2 linked regions of the Mytilus edulis genome follow. The main gene of each other region encodes a partner of the protein of the gene in region 2 in a complex. Links are inferred from orthologs where the notes say so. Each region holds a gene or a part of one and is shown on either strand. Other genes may lie near its edges.

Region 1 (10,875 bases), about 8.5 Mb from region 2:
AATCTAAAAGGAGCAAATAAAACAATAAAAATTTACTTGAGAATTGAATGCTTCTTTTTGTAAATTTATTGGGGTGTAAAAGCGTTGACCGAAGTACATTTTGTATGAAGCGCGGAAGCGCTTCATTCTAAAAATGTGCGCACGGTCAACGCTTTTACAACCCTATAAAGTTACAAAAAGAAGCATTCAATACTTATAATTACATTATTTAGCTATGATCATGAAAACACGAATTTTATATATTTTTCTATTTAATTCACCTGTGCACTTTATTGTTGGACCACGTGTTATCATGATGAAAAGTTGTATTGAGCAATGCAACTGCTTACGGAATAACACGTAATGTGCAGTTAGCCAATCAGAATAAAGTATTATAATGAAACATACATCTAATGTAATTATATTATTTTGTTTCGATTCTTATTTCTTGTATTGTATATATATTATTTTACTTAGTACATAGTAACACATGTCAGAATTAGACTTACCGTATGTACTTTAGTACAAAACACATTTTCGCCAAATCACTACCTTCCTTTCCCATTGTCTATTAATGTGTATAGATAGAAAGTTCGATTTTTATAGCTGATGTTTAATTTGATATTTACTGCTCAGCAGAAATCTGATCAAGAAGATCAAGATTAAATGCAATTTGCACTCTTGCAGGTTTATACAGTCGCGCCGACATAACTAAACAGGTATCTACGCCGGAAATATTGTAGGACAGACATAAAACAGTGTTGGGGTTATTTTGTATATATATACAATTGAAGTTATAGTATTTTATTTGATGAGGTTTCACTGTACAATTATAATTTCTCCATTCCAATTTCCAACTTATCTCCAAAAATTCCCCGAAAAACACAAATTAATGGTCATTTTTCTCCTTCTTAAATTAAAACCTTTATAAGATGATGCAAATGATGGTGGATGGCTGCTTAACGTCCAGTGGCAAATTTATATGCCTTTCAGAACGAGAACATACTAAGGTTATCTGAATATAAACCCTGCTTTGTACAAGACCTACTCGCTGATTCGGATTTTTATCGTGCTAGTGCACAAGGTAACAGTCAGCAAGAAGACATGTCTCCATACTCGGACACCTTATTCTGACTCCGAGCTGACTTGTCTTTGTTCTTATTACTTAATGCCGCTTGTTAAGGGCAGAAGCAGCACATACCAATTTTTTTTTTTGGTTTGACCCAGCCGAGGTTCGAACCCACAACCAACCGCACCGAGACTAACACGCTACCAGGAGGTAGTTTCCTTTATAGAAACTCTGATGAGTTAGCAAGTGGTATGTTGCAATGCAAATTTTCTCCTCCTTTGACATCATAATTTTCCAATGTCAGTAAACCCCCAGCCCCTTACATTATGGTTGGCCTATACGAGCCTTTCTTTTAGATTTGTTGGTATTTGTTATCGTCCTGAATATATAAATATATAAAAAAGAAGATGTCTAAAATATTTGCTGCTAGACGTTTAGCAATCAACAAACAACACATTTCCACTTCGCCACCATCATGTTCATGGTCAAATATGTTCTAAATGAACTGGGTAGACACGTCCTTAATTATTTTCCATAAAGTTACATTTTATTGTATATACCAGTTGGCATTAAAACTTAATCTTTTCTCAGTCATGAACAATCCAATTATTACAATACATGTAAAGCAGAATGGTTTACTTTGAAGGATAGTACTTATGTACTAAGTTTAGTGATTGGGAACTATTTGAGATATTGCACTTGTTTGCCGCTAGACATTTCGTGGTCATACATTAATTATTGAAATACATGTTATCAATGTTTTACACGTAATTACTTTAGTTAATATGATGTAATTAGTTATATGTTGCATTGTATGGTGGTCACGCTACAAATCAATTATATTACAAATACAATTTATTTTGGCAGAGGACATGCATTTTGTTTTATCTCTACATTTTCCTTTGGCAGATGTAAATAGCAGAACAATTACAATACAAATGTTTCTGAGAAGTGTTTTCTTATCATGTTAGAAGGTTGATATATGTGTTTGTTATATATATTTCAACACACTTGCATTAAAATGCATTATAGATAATCTTATATTCAAAATTATAGGTTACTTTTTAATCTATATAGATCTATTACTTTGAGAACTTAAATTGTTAATCTGTTCTTGTTTTTATTTATCTCATTGTATGTATCGTATTGCGTATTGTGGGACAATTATTGATGTTGTAATGTTTATGCACTTTGGGGCCCATAATAGAAAATAAAATATTTTTCTTCTATTGTGTATAGCTATACTTTTATGATTTGTTTTCAGTAAAACATGCATATTTTTTTCTCTCAAGTGAACTATACGTTCCCGATCTTTTATAGAAAATAACAAGTATATATACAAGTGTATTCATGTTTGTCATAGTTAAAATTAAGGTTGGACTGACGATCAAAATATGTAATTCTGAAGAAGTTGATATATCTAACCTACAGACATTGTGTGTCGACAGATTTATAAGGTAGCAGGAATATATGTTCCGTTGTTTTTTTGTTCTCACCTTTTTTCAGGCTGGAGTTATTTTTGTTAAGTATGTTACGACCTTCCGAATAAAGTTTTTTTCCAATCTAAGGAATGTCATCGAAGAAAATTTAAAAGCGAAAAAGGTAACTAAAAAGAATTTGACTTTTGTAGATATATAACATTAAAAGGCAATAAACTTGATAAATGTACATGGTTCTGCATTAAATTCATCTAGACCAATTCCGTAAAAAGAGATTTTTTTTTGTAATTTGATCATTACAAGATAATTTTGAATTAATGTCTTGTCAAATTCAGTTGTAACACAAACCATGAAAAAATAATAAATAAATCCGGTTATGATGACTTAGATCTTTTTTTTTAAATTAGCAAAAAAAATTAGTATTAAATTTAGTTTGAAGAGCAAAGTTTATATTTTAGAAATGCATTATCATGAAAACAAATTTTCTTGTAACAATTTTAATTCAGATTGTTAAACAACGTTGACTTCGTATTTGATTTCTGATTCGCCGTTGGTACCTCAGGCACAGGCACATGTCTCAAAAAAAAAATAATTCCTATATACCTTAATATAAACTTTAAGGTATTTAGGGGGGAAAATTTGAGACAAGTGTCTGTGACCTCAGACTCTACTGGTAGATTCAGATTGTTACATTTTGAAATTATTGGGGAATGGAGCCAAGAAGATCAGTATTGGCATGATAATACAAATACTGTTAACTTTACATTGATAGAACTTAAGAAAATTACTTGAAACTCAGAAAGACAATTCTCTAATGCATAACTCTGATTCCTTAAAACCGGGTTTGACTTTACTTTGGGTAGTTTTCTGTAATTTGACTACTTTAGGTAACAGTTTTGTTATAGGTTTTTAATTTACAAATATCTTCGCCTTGATTACCCTTAACAAGTAATCATTTGTCGAAAAGAGCATTGACATCGCAAATGTATAAAGTTTTTATAAGACCCACGTTGACATTGAAACAAAATTGCACGTACTACACTGGCAAAGAAAATATGTCCATTTCCTTGAAAACTACAGACGTACAGCTTATTTTACCATACTATGCTTCACTCACAGGGTAAAAATCTGAAAAGTTTCCCTTTCACAATACTGAATGTTTCATCAGGAGATCAGTTTGAGCGAATTGAATGATACAGTGTAAGAGATTAGAGTAAGCACAGTAAATACAGGTACATGTCATCAAAAGATGAAGAAGAATAAAATGAGCCACTAAACCGGCACAATGAACTGTATGTATAGTCAAGATTTAAATTAACATTAAAAAATAATTAAATAGTGAGATTGATTTATTGATAAAAATCATAATCAGGTTTCAAAATTGGTGTTTAAATTGTCGTTAAGTAGTAATATAACTGCGTGATATATGGTAAAATATATGGAAATATCTCTTAAAATAAGTACCTTTAAACAATTTTCAAAACTTTGGCCTGTTAATGATAAGTTAGTTTTATAAAAAATGAATAAATCGGTAATTGAAATGAAATTAAACCCGTTATTTGTTATGACTATTTTTATGTTTGTATCATATATATACGTGAAGACAGATCTACATGCCGTGCAGATCGAGACATGCACAGAGTTATGAATCTTACATTTTTTTTAATGTAATTTGATATAAATACCATAATAGTAATAAAACTATACTATGGAATCTGGTCTTTAAAAGTTTTCTTCGTGTCATGGATGTTCTACTATACAAATCTTTGTCGCATGTACACCAGGAACATCAGGGATAGAACGAGACTCTAGACCATTATCCCAATACTCATCTGAATGATTTTCTGAACACCAAATCACACAAATATATGAATAACAGTTGAAATTCTTCATTATCTAGATGCAAAGTGTTTTTCTTTGAACTGATACTGAAAAATTACGAAACATTGAACATTCTTATTCTAGAAAAGTGGTTTATAAAGTTACCCTTAATTTCAGAAGGCCACTAACGCTTATAAATGCTAGCTTGAACTACTCATTTTTTAATGCTGGCACAAACCTTAATCGTATATAAAGTTAACTGATGTTCTACAGCGATTTGAATATAATAATTTAAATATTATATTTGACCGACAAACATGAAATGTGTTAGTTAGTTATATATATATATATATATAGATGAGATGATCATGTATATATTTGACATTTCACATTGCTCTCATCACGTTTGTTTGTATTGCACAATTGCAAGTATAGACTTTATTATAGTTTCGAGTTGTTTTGTTGTTTCGTCTGACAGTCGAAGTCGAGAGTTTCAATTAACTCCACAAATCACAAAACAAAGCTTACGACAATTTATGATACTGTAAAGCACTCCATGTACGTTTTTGACATATGAAACTATTTTATATCCTTTTCTTGTACAAGACCAGCCATACCATTGGCTGCATGCATTTCAAAATTAAATCTTGCCAAAAATGTTTCTATGTTTCAAGCTTGTCCACTCTTAACGAATTCTTTGTTTGATGTTGCCTATCGGGAGATAGGGATTTTTTTCATGTTACATTAAACATGTTACTTGTGTTAAATCTGACAAGGACAAAAAATGATCATAATGTTGAGCTCTTCTAATTGTTCATGGACGTCAAAAATTGCTCTTAAAAAGCAATTTTTACCAATTCAGTTCATCATTTAGCCTTTCATCTTGAAAACTATTACAGACAGAGAGAAACTTTAAGTTGCAAAAAGAATAGCAATCAAGATCTAAAGATAAGAGCGTATTTTCGAAGTCGTCGAAATCGTCAGTCGACTTCCTATAAGAGTTATTGCCTATTGGTTACAGATTTTTCCAATCATTTTTTTCATGATTGCCTTATAAAACTGTAAAAGATAGATCGATTTTTTTTTTAAATAGTGACTTACAAGGAAAGATCTACATTTTAGACAAGTGGAGGAAATAATCTGACTCATTATTGGAGTTATTGCTTTAAATGACAATTTTTACCATTCAGTTTGTTTTAAGCGTTTTGCATTTATGATACAAATTACAGCCGATAAATAGAAACGTTGAACAACAAAAACTACAAGCATGGTGAGATCCACAAACAAGTAAAATTTTATAAATATTGTTAGTAGGGCTCTTCATATTTCACGGTGATTGCACTTTAAAAAATAAGTATTTGTGTACCCCTTTTTATGTTTTGAGCAAAAATTAAAGAAGATAGAGAGAAATCAAACACAAAATGATCAGCAAGACATGATCAACAAAAACAGTTTTTTGTCAGGAATTCTATTCTTATCCACTTGCAATGTTGGAAATTCCATTGGTTAATAGAATCATTGGATTAGGTTAGCGACACATACAACTATGTTCTTTAGGGACCCTATTTTATATCCAAATGGACGAACAGTTATTTTTTATCTCCAAAAACATTGACAGGCCACCAGGGGCGGATCCAGCCATTTTAGAAAGGGGTCAAACTACATATTCCCATTCAAATGCCGAGAATCATAGTGATCGGCCAAAAAAAATGAGGGCCCAACCCCCGCCCCAATATTTTAATTATAATACTTTATATAGTCAAAGTTAATCATCTTTATCTGTGTACATTATTAATATTACTACACATGTAAAAAAAAAATTATGATTATGAAGAATTTTATATCATGAAAAATAAGTAGATGTGGTAAGATTTGCCAGTGAGACAACTATCAAAGTTCAAATGATGTGAATGCAAGCAATTTTTGGCAACCGTGTGGGCTTCAACAATGAGTATAACCCATACAGTATAGTATGCTCAGTCTTCATTAAAACATGTAGTGGTATAGAAAATATTCCTAGATCCTATGTCAAATAAAGTTTAGTGTTAAGTAAGGGTCTTGACGGGGTTTACATAATAGAGAACAATGGACCAATGCTACAGAAAACTAAAATGGCCACACACATATAGAATACAGTAGAGACAAATGTATGCTTTGTTATGGGCGAAATAAATGAAGAATAGAGAATATTGGGATGTTAAAATATTAAGAATTATAGACAAGTCAACAATTGGTAGTTAAAAAGGAATCATAGTATAATGGACAAAAACATATCAATAATATAGAACGATTTCGAATGACCTAATAAAATAATACAGAATTGAAATTCCTCCATCCAGACCCTCTTGAGTTGCTTCATACATATGGGGGGGGGGGGCACATAAGTATTAGTCCCAGATAGGCTATATATGATAAGACACTGAGTTATATTTTTTTTAAGCCAACAATATATTCAAAAGATAAGTATTTCATTTGGTATTTCGTTTGATAACATACATAAATAGTCTTAGATAATGATTGAATTTAACGAATATTAATTAATACCAATAAAAATCATTTATGAGCATTTTCCGTATTTGTAATACGGATTCACGCGTCCGGTAAGTTTTGTGTTTTATAATTTTATCAAGAGAAGGTAACTCTGTTTAACGTCATTTCCTGTGTTGTCAAAATTGCCAAATATCAGTGCCCGTGATTCATGTGACATTTATAGTAATTTGTCAAAACAAAATGACCCTGTTACTACTTTGATTTGTTTTTGTCACATCTTAAGAGCATTTTTGAAGAGGAGGTTTCGATTTATCTTTACGGAAACATAATTTTTATCACAAAATATTGGAAAATATTTTGTGCAACATATTTTGACCTGAAAAACCTGAGAAATTCAAATTTTCATTTGAAATAATTGCAACAGTGTAGATAAAGTAAGTGTTAGTTTTCTATATTAGTTGAAAAAAAAGTACAGTTGTTCTAAACTAATGAAGGTTACAGGTGATTAAATTCTTTACAAATTAAAGTCTCCAGTATGACTAGCTGCGGAACCGTAGCTCTTAGGTCCTTATGCTATTTTTTGACTATTTGCGGACCATAGAGCTATGGTCAGCAAATAGTGAAAAAATAGCATAAGGACATAAGAGCTACGGTTCCGCAGCTACAGTATGACTTGGTATCAGGTGGGTCTCATTGGGGTCTAAGCGTGACGCGGGATTGGCGATTTTTTGTAAGCGTGACACGTGAAAGTCAAATTATTGTGGCGTGAAAACGGGAAATGAGGTCTTGCAGGACCCGGGAAATGACAAAAAAATGAGAATTGCTTACGTACATAGTGTAAGCGGGATATGGGAATCTGACAAAACAGTAAGCGGGATCCGGGATCGGAACCCCCCAATGAGACCACTTATCAGGTCTGGTCGCTCCTAAGACACATTCACCCCCTTCAGGTTTGCAAGTGACCCCACACGTTCATCTCTTTTAAAATCATATTTGTACAAATAAAAAATGTATATGAAGACAAGATAACCTTTTATGAGATAACTATACATGTACATGTATGGTGCAGTCCGGTGTATCCTCACACGTAAGATTTATGACTTCCAGGGTTTTCGCTGGCGGTCGCCATTTTCGCAATTTGCGAAAAAATAATGATTGTGGCGATTAAAATTCGTCATTGGCGAAAGAATTTGGCAAAAGAAATATATAAAACGATTTATTTTCAACCATCTTGTTTGTTTACTTTTTTTCGGATTTCTCTGTCTTTACCTGGTCAGACAATACTCGGAATTCACCTAGAACTCGTTAAGATTTTGACAGATAATCAATAATCAGCTGATTGCATTTTATGCCTATCGACATCAAAGGACTAATTAATAAAGGTTTTGATTGTAATGAGAAAATGATATGGTTGAATGGCGTTCGTTACATGTCACTTTAAAAAGGATCTATTAACGTGACTTTGCGACGCACGTGTTTGAAGCAAAATTTTGACGACTCTTCTCCTTCTTTTAATGATAGTCCAGAAAAGAAAACTTGCCTATGAAGGATAATGTTCAAAAGCAAGAAAGGTCTCTAATTTAAAACTTTATCATTTAACTTTGATAATCGATAATTGATTGGAGTGGGTACTTTTAAGTCGTTTCAGTGACACACATGTTTCAAGCATAGTTGTACTTACACATGTATTGGCGATGGTATAGAAAAGAAAACTGTCTTTATAAAGAAATGTATTCAAAAGGTTGGGAACAACCCCTCGAATAAAAATAACCCTTCAATGTTATGACTACACCTTACATGAGGGATCAATGTCAAGTGATAAAAAAACTTTTGTTTTGTTGTAAAAAAACACTTCTTAGTACAAAAGGACACATGTTATTATTTTTTTTTAAACTTTCCCAAAGAACTGTGACATTTTCATGTAACCAAGATTATATTCCAGGATTTATATCTTCTTTAATTTCAAAAAAAAGTGGTCCCTTTCTTTTAAAGTTGTTCAAAATATAATCAATTTTCCCTGTACAGTTCTTTTTTTTTTTATAAGGTAAATGTTTAGTATTTTTATTTATTACAATACAGACCGAAAGAATAGTTTTAGAAAGTAATCTTAGAAAGCAATGGGGCAAAGTAATCTTATTGAGGTTTGAGGGAGGGGAATTCAAAAGAAAGATATATTTGTGTCATATGGCGAAAAAAATAATAAAGTGGCGAAAAATATATTGTTTTGGCGAAAGAGGTGGCGAAAAAAATAATTGACCCAGGGGAAACCCTGATGACTTCACTTTATTAGAATGATAAAACCAAAAATCGGATAATATTGTGTGAAACATTTCATTCAATACTGTTAATTTCTTAAACTCTTCTGTACATGTATGTATGGTTTCACCCTTAAGATTGTGTGTGATGTGTATCCAAAATTTTGAAACCCCTTCTTCTTTTGTTACAGAAAACCATCAACGTACTAATGTTTACTTTCCGGCGGTAACTCCCTGTTTTGGGAGTTCTTTAAATGTCTAGTGATTTCATGCATGCCTTTTAAAAAATAGTTTATGTTGAAGAAAAGAAAGATTTTATAATACACACTATAATTATTAATAATTGAATTTAAACCAAACAGACTGCCAAGGATACAGAGCAAAATTTATTTCAATCTAATTTAAATTTGACTTTAATGAAACAAATTTTATCTGTTTATATAATATTTTTAATGGTAATTGTCTAAATTTGGTTAGTCATCGAATTGTAGTTATAAAGTTAATCTTGACTTATCAATTTTAATCTTTTTTGTCCCTTTGGAATACTAAAAAAATGACAAGAATGATTTTGTTACATTGTCCATATGACAAAATCAGGTAATGCACAACATCACCAGACGCACAGGGACTCCACTGTACAGTAACAAAATATTCACTGTGTTAATTTCCCTACAAACATATGTTAACAAAAATTACATGTGTAATACTCTTCTTTAACATTTTTCAAAACAGAATGACCCTGTTACTAATTTGATTTATTGTTTTCACAACTTGCTTTTTTGTAGACAAGATTTTGGTTCTCTTAAAGGAAAACATAATTTTCTTTAAAAATATTGGAATTTATTTTGTGTAACATATTTTGACCTGAAAAATCTGAGAAATTTTCATTTGAAATAATTGGTACTACATTGTAGATAAAGTAAGTGTTAGTTTTTTTAATTTGTTGAAAACAAAAGTACAGTTGTTCTAAACTAATGAACATTACAGGTGATCAAATTCTTTACAATTAGTCTCCACTCTCCAGTACGACTTAAGCTTGGTATCATGTCTGTTCGCTCCCAAGACACATTCGCACCCTACAGCTTTGCAACCCACACATTCACCCCTTCAACAATTACATTTGTACAAATAAAAAATATGTATGAAGACAAATATACATGTTTAATACTGATCTTTGACATTTTTCAGAAACAAAATTCAAGAACGATGAAGCTTTATTGTATAGAAGTGCTATTCAAAGATTCCAATGGGAAAGTAAGGCTTCTTGCTGCTACACATGACCTTCAATCTTTTGGATATTTTCAAAGGTCTAGGTAAGTGAAATACAAATGGTAGATACAATATTGTATCAGTAAGTTAATTTTAATTAAGTAGGTCGAGGATGACCTAGACACTATGACTAATGTTCTACAAGAATTGAACAAAATTCAGTTACTTTTGATGAATTTGAATGAAACATTTCATTAGTAAAATCATTTTACTTTCCCCTAAAATGTTGTTCTACCAGTTAGCATCAATGGAACTATGAAACCACCAGGATTTTTTTTCTCCCCAAATAAAAGTTAAGTAGGACAAGAAAACACTAACTTGACTAAGATATCTTAATAAAATACCTTTATACTAGTACTTTATTAATTTTTTTAGAAGTATAATAATTTTGTCTAATTTTTTGTTTGGTAGAAAAGAAGTTAACAAAGATGACATGAGTGTATTATATAAACATGGTTCATGTATTAATTACAGCTGATGCCATGACTTTTAATTTGTCATGTTTACATTGTAGAATTCTCCCTGCCATTGCTAAGATAAATAAATGTGTTAT
Region 2 (11,022 bases):
GCTATCGGTATAAAATCAAGGTAATACATAAATTTTAATGGGTTAAAAAAATTATTTTCTAGACCAAGCTTCAACGGGAATGCACAAAGTTCTTTCTTCAATGTTCTTAAAAGTTTTCAGTCGATATAAGCATATAAAATGTATTAATTATCTTGGTTATTTTAACATGTTTAATACATTTTGTCATCCATAAAAAATGAACAGATCTAATTTTTATGTTGGAAAAATTATCATGAAATTCTTTCTTTGTAAAGCTTTAACGTTTTTTTCACATCACAGCCCATAGATACATTAACAAACACTACCTGTCTTTTGTTACCGTATTTATCATGGACTTTCTTTAACCTCCCATCTATTTCCTTGTGTAATTGTTCTCTCTGTTCTAATTCTCTCTGTCTGGATAAATATTTCTCTTCTCTTTGTTTCTTAATCCTCTCCTAAAATGAAAGTTCATTCAATTATAAGCAAACAAAAATTCTAGTGAGAAAAATAAAATGTTGGTCATTTTGCTTTTCTTGATGTGTTGTTGTTCATGGAGAATTACCCAAAACATATTTCAAATTTGAGATCAATATTAGCTGTTTGTTAGAATAAATTTGTACATGCATATGGTATTTTACTAAAATCTTTCAAAATAAATTAATGTTTATAACAATTAATATTCTGTTTATCTTGGTATGCATCTATCCTTTAAGGTTGTTTTGTATTTGTTAGCTGTTGGTTTTGTTTTTTTAATTAATTTTGTAATATCTGCCAGAAGATATGATAGTCCAGTTATCAATATATATTTGTTCCACGTAACAGAAGTTTCCTACATACTTTTTTGTATAAACAATGCAATAAAATTTGTTCCTTTGCCCTTTATTCAGTAAGAAACAAATACTGTAATATTTGTTCCAGTGGCAATAATATTACAGAATATTTTTTTGACTTTCATTATGACAGAACTTCTATTTCATGTCGAAGGTGCTGGTGGTGAGATTCAGTGTGATTTATAGTGTTATCCTGTCTTAAATTATTTGTAAAAAACAAACTACACCAAACTAAGAAAATTGAACTACAAAATTGAATTTTAACTGGCTTGAAATATCTTTTTTCAATACCTCTGATTATTAGTATCTCCATAATCAGAAATGTTTTGTCATTTACAAATTTAAATTTAATTGATGGAATTCTAATAATTTTAATCTAGCGATATATATATATTTAGTGTATTGTAACCCATGGACAGACCTAAACTTAAGTGACATAGTTTTAGTGTTAAGGTATTCAAAATCTTTACTCTGTAATGTAATGTAAAATTGTGATATGTTTGTTGTACAACTTCATATCTGTTCATGATATCACCAGTTTCTAGACTCTTTGAATATAATCATATCTATGTGTTCCTGTACTGTGTCAATTTTTTTCTTTCAAAATTTAGACTTTTAGAATGGTGACATCATGTTATCCAAGAAAAAAAAAGTTCAAAGAAATACTTTAACTAAACTATGAAAAACATCCAAATAAAAACTATGATAAAACAAGGGTCATGGACGTCTGAACTGATATCAATTCAACTGCAAACAAAGTAATTTGCAGTTAAAAGATTTGTTGAATCAGATCATAGAATGAATGAAATGTCAACAGTAATTGAAGCTGAAAGGATATAATACAGTAATGCAAAAGGATATTTGTATAAACAGGCTAATAGTATTCTTTTTGTCCAGCTAGAATGTTCACATACTGAAAATAATACAAAAAATAAAGTTATTTCCAAATTTCATTTAATTTTTTTATATGATGTTGTGTTTATAGTATTCATCTAATTATTTTATATTCCATAATCATTTTACAAACAATACACAAGGCGTTAGAACTTTTTACCATTCATTATCCCAACGTTATCAAATTAACCAATGTTTGGATGAACAAAATTACTGGACCCGACTTCATTTGTTTGTCAACTCTTCTTGTACAAACACCGCTTATTCATACATCTAACTTTAGTTTTTTATGTACAAATGTATAAAGTAATTTTTCTTTAAGCATTTAATGAAAACTATCTTCATACATGTTATATGTGTCAGTACAGTACAGTTAATACAGCTAAAACATTGCCCTTTTCAGGTTTTCTTAAAATGTTTTGAATGAATTTACTTTGCCAACCCTAGACACATGATCTCATCTACTTATTCAAGATAAAAACAAATTAATAACAAATGAATGTGTTTCTACTTATACACGCACTGTACATGTATTATAATTTAAACCTGAAACTAACCTTCTTTTTGATGAACCTTATAACTGATACTTTTGAAATAAATTGAAAATCATAACTTCATAAGGGAACTAAATAAACTGGGATAATTTGATTCCAAAAGGATATGAAGGATCAAAGCTCAAAACCATATCATCTATCAGCTACAAAATTTCTGGCAAAGACAATGATCAAATTATATTACATGAATTGTAATACAAAGGGAGGAGGATTCTTATGGTTGAGGAGTCTTAAATAGAAGGTTTGGGTTAATGGTACATGAATAACTAAAGCCTTTTATTATTTTCATAACCATTGGATATTTCAGGAAAATTCTGAGCTGTTTAAAGTTTTGCACAACTTTGACACAACAAATTAATAGCTTTCAACAAACCCTTTTTTGCATCCTCTTCTTAACTTTCATTCTTAAATCCAGAACATCTACTGTGGACAAATATTTCCTTATGGCATCCATTTCATCCTGTACAAATATAGACATTTCGAAATTATTTTCAAAAATAAAATAAAGATATTATTGGTATTCAAATGAAGAAATTTTAATGAATCATTTCAATCATGTCAATATGTATGTAATGTATGTGATTAGATCCATACACATGTACATTGTAGGTACAAATGTATTGGTACTAAAAACAATTGTTACATCATTCAGCAGTATACATTATATATATGTAAATTTATTTAAATGAATTCCATCTTTTTCAAGTTTCAATTATTTGCACAAAGCATTAAAAAATCAGCAATCAAACAATTATCTATACATTCTATATGCATGATACAGATGTATGTTTAACATACAAATGTACATGTACACATCCCATACAAAAAAAATCCATAACAACTAACAACATGGAACATCTGGATTCCTGTATAGTTTAAATATTTCTCTTCCATGATTCTTTATAGTTCTTTCATACCTTCAATTTATTAGTTGTTCTCATTTCTTCCTCAATCTGATGTTGATCACATGATTTTAAAATCTTGATCTGTTTTTGAAGGGATGCCATCAGAAACATCATTCTTTTTGTTTTTTCTTGGACATCATATAGCTGAAACATATTATGAAAATTGAAAAAGATGTGTATAAATAAAGCAATCTTGCATTAAACCCTACAAAATTTCAACTGAAATATATACTTTTTGCATAAAGAATTAAAAGTTTTTCCAACATGCACATTTAAATGCTTTGCATACAATGTTTGTACATTGTAAAGACAAAATGTTTGAGACTTTACTTTGTAACAACTACTGCTTCCCTTAGTTGGTATCTCAAGGAAAACAGACTTGCTGTAACCCTAGCCTGGTCCCTTACATACATTTGTATAACCAACATGACCAATCAACAAGTGTACACATGTATATCTTAACACCTGTAGATGGTTTAATCATGTCCAGTTTTATTTACATTAACTTAACAATTTTTTAGGGGAAAAGATCCTTAGCTTTGACTTGTTTGATGGTCTCAACCTGTGTGATATATGCAATAGTCCAACAAAAAGGTAAATTAATGTCTGTTAAGAGTTAAAACTTTACTTGCAACTTTGAAACTTACACATATAATACGTTTTGGCCTGACCCATAGAGTCTTGTACTTTGAACAAAATTGAGGTTGCTGTCTAATTGATGTGTACCCTACATTATGTAGCTACAAGTACACGAGACATGAAGTACAATGTCATGAATGAAACATTTATCACATCACAATACAGTTCAATAATTCAATCGATTGAATCTTGTTTGTCTATCATTGGAATGTTGCAATACTTATTTTAGAATTGTACTTCAGCGTATTTTCACTAGATCATTTATGACACTGCTCATCTATATATATTGATATATAGATTGAGTATTGTTAGCCGGTAAACAGACAGAGAGTCACAAGACATGAAGTCACAAATTTGATAGGTCAAAAAGTCACAGGACAAAAAGTCACATATAATTCTTCAACAATTGTTTGAATATACATGTATAAGAGAAAGATCCAGAAATATTTTCTTTTTACTACATACATATGTATATTAATTTTTCAGATAAGGAAATTTGTCACAGGTTTTGATAAATGAAAATTCATCACATTTTAATCATGCAAAGAATATATTTCTTAGCACCATGAAGACATTTGTGTACCAAGCAACTTTGACATTTTGTTTTAATAACAATTATTTGATCATTATTGATATTTATTGAAAACATTTTAATTACAAAATTAAAGTTGCCTTTTATATCATTGTATATAATAGTTCAAGAAAAAACAAAAATATTCGTTTTTAAATTTGTGTTTTCTTGTTCAAAGAAATATACATGTAGTCTCAAAACTGAATTGTGACTTTTTGTCCTGTGATTTTCTGTCCTACATTTTTGCTAGCCAATTCTTACATTAACTGGTGTTTTGACACATTCTTTTTTCTGGACCTTCCAATCATCAGATTGTATTCCTTTTCTATCAAGCCATGATTTTATCCACTCTGTATCTTTTTCTTTCCCTGGCAGTACAGTTGCATGTTCTGTCTGAATTAATTCTTTTTTAAGTTGAAACGGCTGCTGGTGGTGCTGCTGAATTTGCTGATTCATAACTGGCTTGAGTGGAGGAGGATGAGAATTTGGAGGAAACGGATTTGAACCTGCGTAGGGTTTTGGTTGAAAATTAGGTGGTGGAAATGGATTAGGAAATCTGTTCATTGGTGGTGGCATTCCAAGCTGATTATTTCTGAATTGCATATCATTTTGCAAAAATGAATTGGAAGGAGGTGGACAATTTGGGATCATCATTTGTACAGGTTGAACTGATTCAGGAACACTAACATGACTAAGTCCTTGGTAGTCCAATGGTTTTGTAAATTGGTGAATTTGAGGATTTGTATGATCTTGTTGTCTATTGTCAAACGGTTTTTCAGTTTGTGCGAAACTCAAAGAACCCAGCAATTCAGAACTTTGTTGAGGTGATATTATGCTTGACCTTTGCACAAGTGTGGTGCTTTCATCCTGATCAGGAATAACATCAAGACCTGGAATTTGCATATTCTGTGAATTGAAAGTTGATTTTGATTTTTGTATTTCTTCTTGTGCAACTTTTGTAAAAAAGTTTCCACTACCTTTACTGTCAAGAATTTCATTCTTCTGATCATTCATTGACCAGTTAAAAGGTTTTTGATCATTCATCGACATGTTGATAAGTGGAGCCTGGTGATAGCCATCGATTGATGTTTGAGGTGTAATTCTCGAGTCAGAACTGTATTTTGCCATGCCAGTCCTATTGCGATTTGGATCTCTCATAGACATAGAAGTGTTTAGCTCCCAGCTTGAAGGTTGTGATTGGTCTTGTTGGCTGCCTTGTGTTTGCCCTTGGTTGTATATTGGAAATGAAGAAGGCCCTTGTGGTCTACTACTTTGAACATTGCGATTATCAACTCTTTCTTCAAATGAGCGTTGATTTTGCCCGTGTTCATTATTTGGAAAATTGGACGTGATAGTGTTTGTGTTTTGAAACCTTCTTGGTTGGTTATTTCTTGGGGTGTACTGTCCCGGTGTTCGTGGAGGAAAATTGTGTCTCTGGTTTTGGCCTCGTGTGACAAATCGAGGATTTGCAGGCCGAAAGTTCTTTCTGCTGTTATTTCGACTGTACATCTTTCTTATCCGTTTCTAATTAAAAAGTTGTTTTTTTTGGTTGGATTTTCATGTGCGCTGACATCTTTAATCTCGTATATTCGTGACTTTAATTTTATTGTTAATTGCAGCAATAAAAAATTTTATTGTGTAAAAGAGATTCATAATAGACAAAAATATTTATATTTGGCGTTCAAAATACAAAATAATAATAAAAAGAACAGTATATTATCTTTTTGTGCGACATCACGTGATCATAACAAAAAATCCAAAATGTCGTCTGACAGCAGAGGATGTCGCCTACTTTCAGATTTAAACAGCGTATTTCGGAAGGACCCCGAGATGTAATTAAAAACTGTAAATTAAGCCCCATTTCGAACAGTTTGGCATTTCAATAGGCGATGTAATTTCATTGAGAAAGCTTGCATTGAACCAAATTCTTCATAAAAACAGATGTAAACAAAGAAATTATTAAGATATTATGTCTTAACTCTCGGGACATTTCGGCCACATAACTTATGTGGCCGAAATGTCCTGAGAGTTATTAACCATATCGTTAAGGTCGTTTCGGACACGGTCGATTCGGCCACACCTATACATCTATATGGGTAATCTGTAATATGTTAAAATTTAAAGTTGTGTCATCCAAAATGTGCTCTTTTAAGGCAGCAACCATTTGATTTTCTGGGGGGGGCTATGGTTTTTTTATCTGTGCAAACTTTTTTTTTCGCCTGCGGCGAAAAACAATCTATTTTTTTCGCGACAGGTCGAAAACAATTTTTTTCTTTCAATTTTAGCATTACATATAGTGGCAGCTGAGGGTGAAACAAACAATTTTTTTTTCTCAGAATCAAAAACAAATTATTTTTTTCTCCAAAAACTGGAAACAAACTTTTTTTTCCAAAAAAAACCATAGCCCCCCCCCAGAAAATCAAATGGTTGCTGCCTAATTAAAATCATATGCACAGGTGCCAAGGCAGATAAAAACATTTGTGTGCTGATTTACAGATATCTGTGTGCTATGAGGTTGGTCTTGAATGCTTCATAGTCGTCAATGTCCAATAGACTAGACAGCAATAAATGCGGTAGTTCATTCCAATTTGTGATGGTTCTTACGAAGAAGCTATGTTTTCTTTGTTCAGAACTTGATCCTAATCTGACAAATCGCCGTTGATGGAATTGACGCATCATTCTTGCTGGTGGTGTCAAGTATTCTGGAATTGGAATTGCAATAAGTTGGTGGATTACTTTGTGAAAAAGGAGTAAACATGATGTTTTTCGTCTCTCCTATAGTCATGGTAGTTGTGGTAGTTTTAGGTTCTCTAATAAAGATGTTACTATGCCTGGGTCTTGAGAATACTCATGTCTGATGAATCTGGCTGCTCTACTTTGGACCATTTCTAGCTGTTGTATGTGTTTTTGGAGATGTGGGTCCCAGCTGGGAACAGTATATATCTATCAGTTAATATATGTTCCTGGTCCCAGAGACTGCTAGCATATACTTTTTCAAATTGTTCTTTATATTATATACACATTGTACTCTCCTATAAAAAAATATTATGTTAAATGTTTGATTTAGATGTTTGGTTTTATCAATCTAATATTTTGTTGAATTAATAACTAAATTATTATATTAACATGATTAAGGTCACATTTATAATGATAAAAGATAAAATAATATAATTTTTGGGCTGTTCGGCGGTGTGCAGTGAGTTCAGTGGTGAAAAGACCTAAAGATATTGAGAGTTTGTTTTGAGAAAGAATATTTTACAACAAAAAGTCATTTTGTCAGAATGACGTACATCCATCTGCTGTGAAAGGAGAGGATATGTTACACATGATAAAGACATTAAAATAACAATTCCTGCTGACTTTTAAGGCTTGATTATCAATTTAAAAAAACAGAGAATAGAATGTAATGTCTTAATCATAATACTTATAGTAAGAACCTTTTTACTACACAAATCCTGGTTCTAATTAAATATTAAGCACTGGGTAAGATTACACAAAGTATCTGACAATAAGAATTCATTATAGCTATATAGTCACTTCTGAAATTGCTGCATTGTATTTCAGGACAGGGACCCATCATTATAATACGGATATTGCAGACCACTATAGTATTTTTTTTTGGTCATATGTATTTATTGTTACTTTTAAAATTTCACATTTGCAAATTATGTCTTTTTTGATATATACAATTTTTGTAGCATCAGGATACATTGTTCTTTGTAAGGTCTTTGTGTCATTTCCCTGTATTTACATGTGATGTAACGTTGCTTTATGAGTTTCAATTGAGAATAGATTATATCTTTTACTTTTTGGATGTTGCTTTGGATTTTACTTCTATTTTTCAAGAATTTTTTCTAAACATGTACATGTATATATTTGTAACTGCACACAATTTGCATCTTGTTAAAATGACTTTGGAATCATTTTAAATGATCATTAAAACTTTGAAATGATATTAACTTTTCACTGACCTCAAATTGCACGTCACCCTCATTGGAATCCCTACTTAAGAATAGTAGGTTGTTTTAATCGACTTTGCTGTTCAAGATTGCCCAACAACTGTCAAACAATAGCAAACAATAGTTTGCACTTTGTCACTTATCTGCTCATTATCACATCTACAAAATGTATAATAACATACAGACGTGTTGAACTTCAAAGGAAATAGCCAAGGAAGTTGTTTCAGATACATATCCAGGATTTTGAAAAATGGGGGCCCAAACTATATGTGAAAAGTCTATGCATGAACCATATATGTAGCTGAACATGAATATGAAAGGAAGTTATTAACCAAAGCCCCTCACTTTGAATTTCATATATACCTTTCCACTAAGTTATTGAAAATTAACACTAAGTGACTCAGTATCGTGAATGATTTTGTCTGGATAAAACATCATTAGAACACAAAATGTGGAAGCCATGCATGCATATTATATAATATATTATAACATTTACATTTTGAATTATTTACAGTGATGAATATGACTTTCTACCAGTACTGGAACCCAAACACAACCGAAGTCCACTCATTCTACAAGACCATAAACTTGGACTTGAGATGTGGAGTGTCAAAATTCTTCATCATTATGCCTACAATACACTGATGACATGGAGGATGAAAGAAGTTAATGCCAAATTCTTAGGTAAAACTACACGCAATACCATCTCAGTTATTCATTTAGTTTAGTTTAGAAAATCAAGAATAAAAGTCAATGCCAAATGCATGGTTTAGATATCAATTTCTTTATTTTAATGCATCATTAAATATTGGCTGTTAAATATAAAAATTAGAAAGGATATGGGCAATGTTTCAAAGAGACAACAACCTGTCCAAAGAACAGAAAACAACTCAAGGCCACCAATGGGTCTTCAACACAGCAAGAAAATCCTGTACAGGAGGCAGCCTTCAGGTGACCCCTAAACAAAAAATGTAAACTAGTTCAGTGAAAATAGATGTCACACTCAATTCCAAAATATTTAAATGAACTAAATAAAAAAAGGTACAAGACTTACAAATGCTAGAGGCTGGTGACTTGGGACTGGTGCAAAAAGAAACTTGTTTTGTGAAATCTCAATCCTCCCCTTTTACCTCTGGATTTAGAGCCAACATAGAATAAACAAACACACAGCAATATGCACAGTTAAACACAGTTTAAAAGAAATGAAAGAATATCAAGTCCAATGTCAGAATACATGTAGGTAACAAAATGTTGCCAGCTAAAATGAGTGTATTATATTTTACTTGTTTATGTTTTACAGGTCAATTGGATTTAATAAATCTAACTAGAGCAATAGTGTTAGTCAATCCAGATTGTTCTACTGCATGGAACATCAGGTAGGGTTTGAAATAATCATTAAATCAATTAAGCAATTAAATATAATCATTTATATATACATTTCTTCAAAATAAAATTTTTTTTCATATTATTGGGCAGGCACCGCTAATATTGCCCTTCAATTTTGAGTCTTCAAATAAAGTCCCTAGAATGGAGTGTACTTCTACCATTTTTTTTTAATTCAGCTATCCAAATTATATTGTACTGTTTTATGCTTAAAATTGCAAAGAGGGAGATACAATTTTACTGTAAAAAAAATAAAGCCATGCATTTATGGTAAAAGGTAAATTACATTGTATGTGGTTGAGTTGATAAAAGTAAAACATAAGTATGTGTAAAGCTGACCACTCTGAAAATAAATGATTTATCCCAGGCCCTTGTTTTTCCTCTAACAAAAGTTGCCCAAAATGAAATAGTGTAATATGTTGCATAGAAAGTATTGTTTGTAAAACCCTCTCTCCTTGCATTCACTTCATATTGGTTTCTATTCACCTTGAACTTAAAGCATGTCACTTTCTTTATGGTCATGGTATAATATGTTAGTGCTATACATTATTGTATATAGCAAAGACCTTTTCATGATTTAGATTGCATGCAATATAACAACAAGGAGATCAGGTATGATTGCCAATCTGACCAATATCCACCAAAATCCAAAAGAAAAGGATGAAAGCAATTATAGCCAACCGTACATCTTGTACAATGAGAAAACCCCATACCATATTGTCTGCAATAAAAGGCATTTGAAAAATCTAAAACAATTAAACTGAGAAAACAAATTAATAGAGCAATACTTTTGTATTACAGAAAAGAATTAATAGAGAATGGTGACCTATCAGTAGCAGATGATTTGAAACTTGGAGCATTGGTACTGGGAAAGCACCCCAAAAGTCCAGAAACTTTCAGTCACAGGTATAGATAAATAAACAAAGAGCTAAAAGTCCACTAACCTGTCACAAGTAACAATAACATTCAAAAACATTTATAAACTTCAGTTACAGATGACAAGATCAATTTAAAATAGGGGAATAGAATATCTTAGAGTTGAAGATTTCCATTGAACTCAATGTTTAACTCAAAACTTTCATTCAGTGAAAAGTAAAAATATTATTCAGCAGGATGTTTCTTTCCAAATAACTGAATTTTCATGAGTTATCCCCCCTCTCACAATTCAGCCTTCACATAGAACATTTGTAGAATGTCAAATAAAAAGAATAAGACAAAATTTCAAATTAATTGGTTGATAAGGAATATGAAAATTTTTTAATCACAAACATTGTAGGATGTTCACTATAAAAGAAGTACTTGAAA

What was found.
Region 1: the proteins of protein prenyltransferase alpha subunit repeat-containing protein 1-like (region 2) and synaptobrevin homolog YKT6-like are in contact, whole or in part, in a crystal structure (PDB 6J7F), measured with the Homo sapiens proteins. The link is inferred for Mytilus edulis from reciprocal best matches to the Homo sapiens genes PTAR1 and YKT6. Residues at the interface, in NP_001093136.1 of Homo sapiens: Glu31, Gly33, Leu34, Ile35, Pro36, Val48, Val50, Glu51, Lys53, Leu54, Gly55, Ser58, Lys135, Tyr191, His225, Ser228, Met229, His230, Val231, Ser232, Asp233, Phe298, Asp301, Leu302, Ser305, Tyr306, His309; in NP_006546.1 of Homo sapiens: Met1, Ser29, Phe30, Phe31, Asn83, Glu84, Pro86, Gln131, Asn132, Pro133, Arg134, Gln180, Phe184, Arg189, Ser193.

Annotation. Positions count from the first base shown.
Region 1 is NC_092347.1:81,089,115-81,099,989, forward strand, and holds the start of synaptobrevin homolog YKT6-like, read left to right. Parts: upstream 1-6,939; 5' UTR 6,940-7,232; intron 7,233-10,241; 5' UTR 10,242-10,259; coding exon 10,260-10,366; intron 10,367-10,875. UniProt on the Homo sapiens protein: Vesicular soluble NSF attachment protein receptor (v-SNARE) mediating vesicle docking and fusion to a specific acceptor cellular compartment. Functions in endoplasmic reticulum to Golgi transport; as part of a SNARE complex composed of GOSR1, GOSR2 and STX5.
Region 2 is NC_092347.1:89,619,719-89,630,740, forward strand, and holds the start of protein prenyltransferase alpha subunit repeat-containing protein 1-like, read left to right. Parts: upstream 1-6,115; 5' UTR 6,116-6,136; coding exon 6,137-6,207; exon of another isoform or gene 6,208-6,220; intron 6,221-8,848; coding exon 8,849-9,018; intron 9,019-9,634; coding exon 9,635-9,710; intron 9,711-10,518; coding exon 10,519-10,623; intron 10,624-11,022. Other genes in the region: programmed cell death protein 7-like, read right to left, coding at 306-437, 2,634-2,720, 3,178-3,309, 4,637-5,884.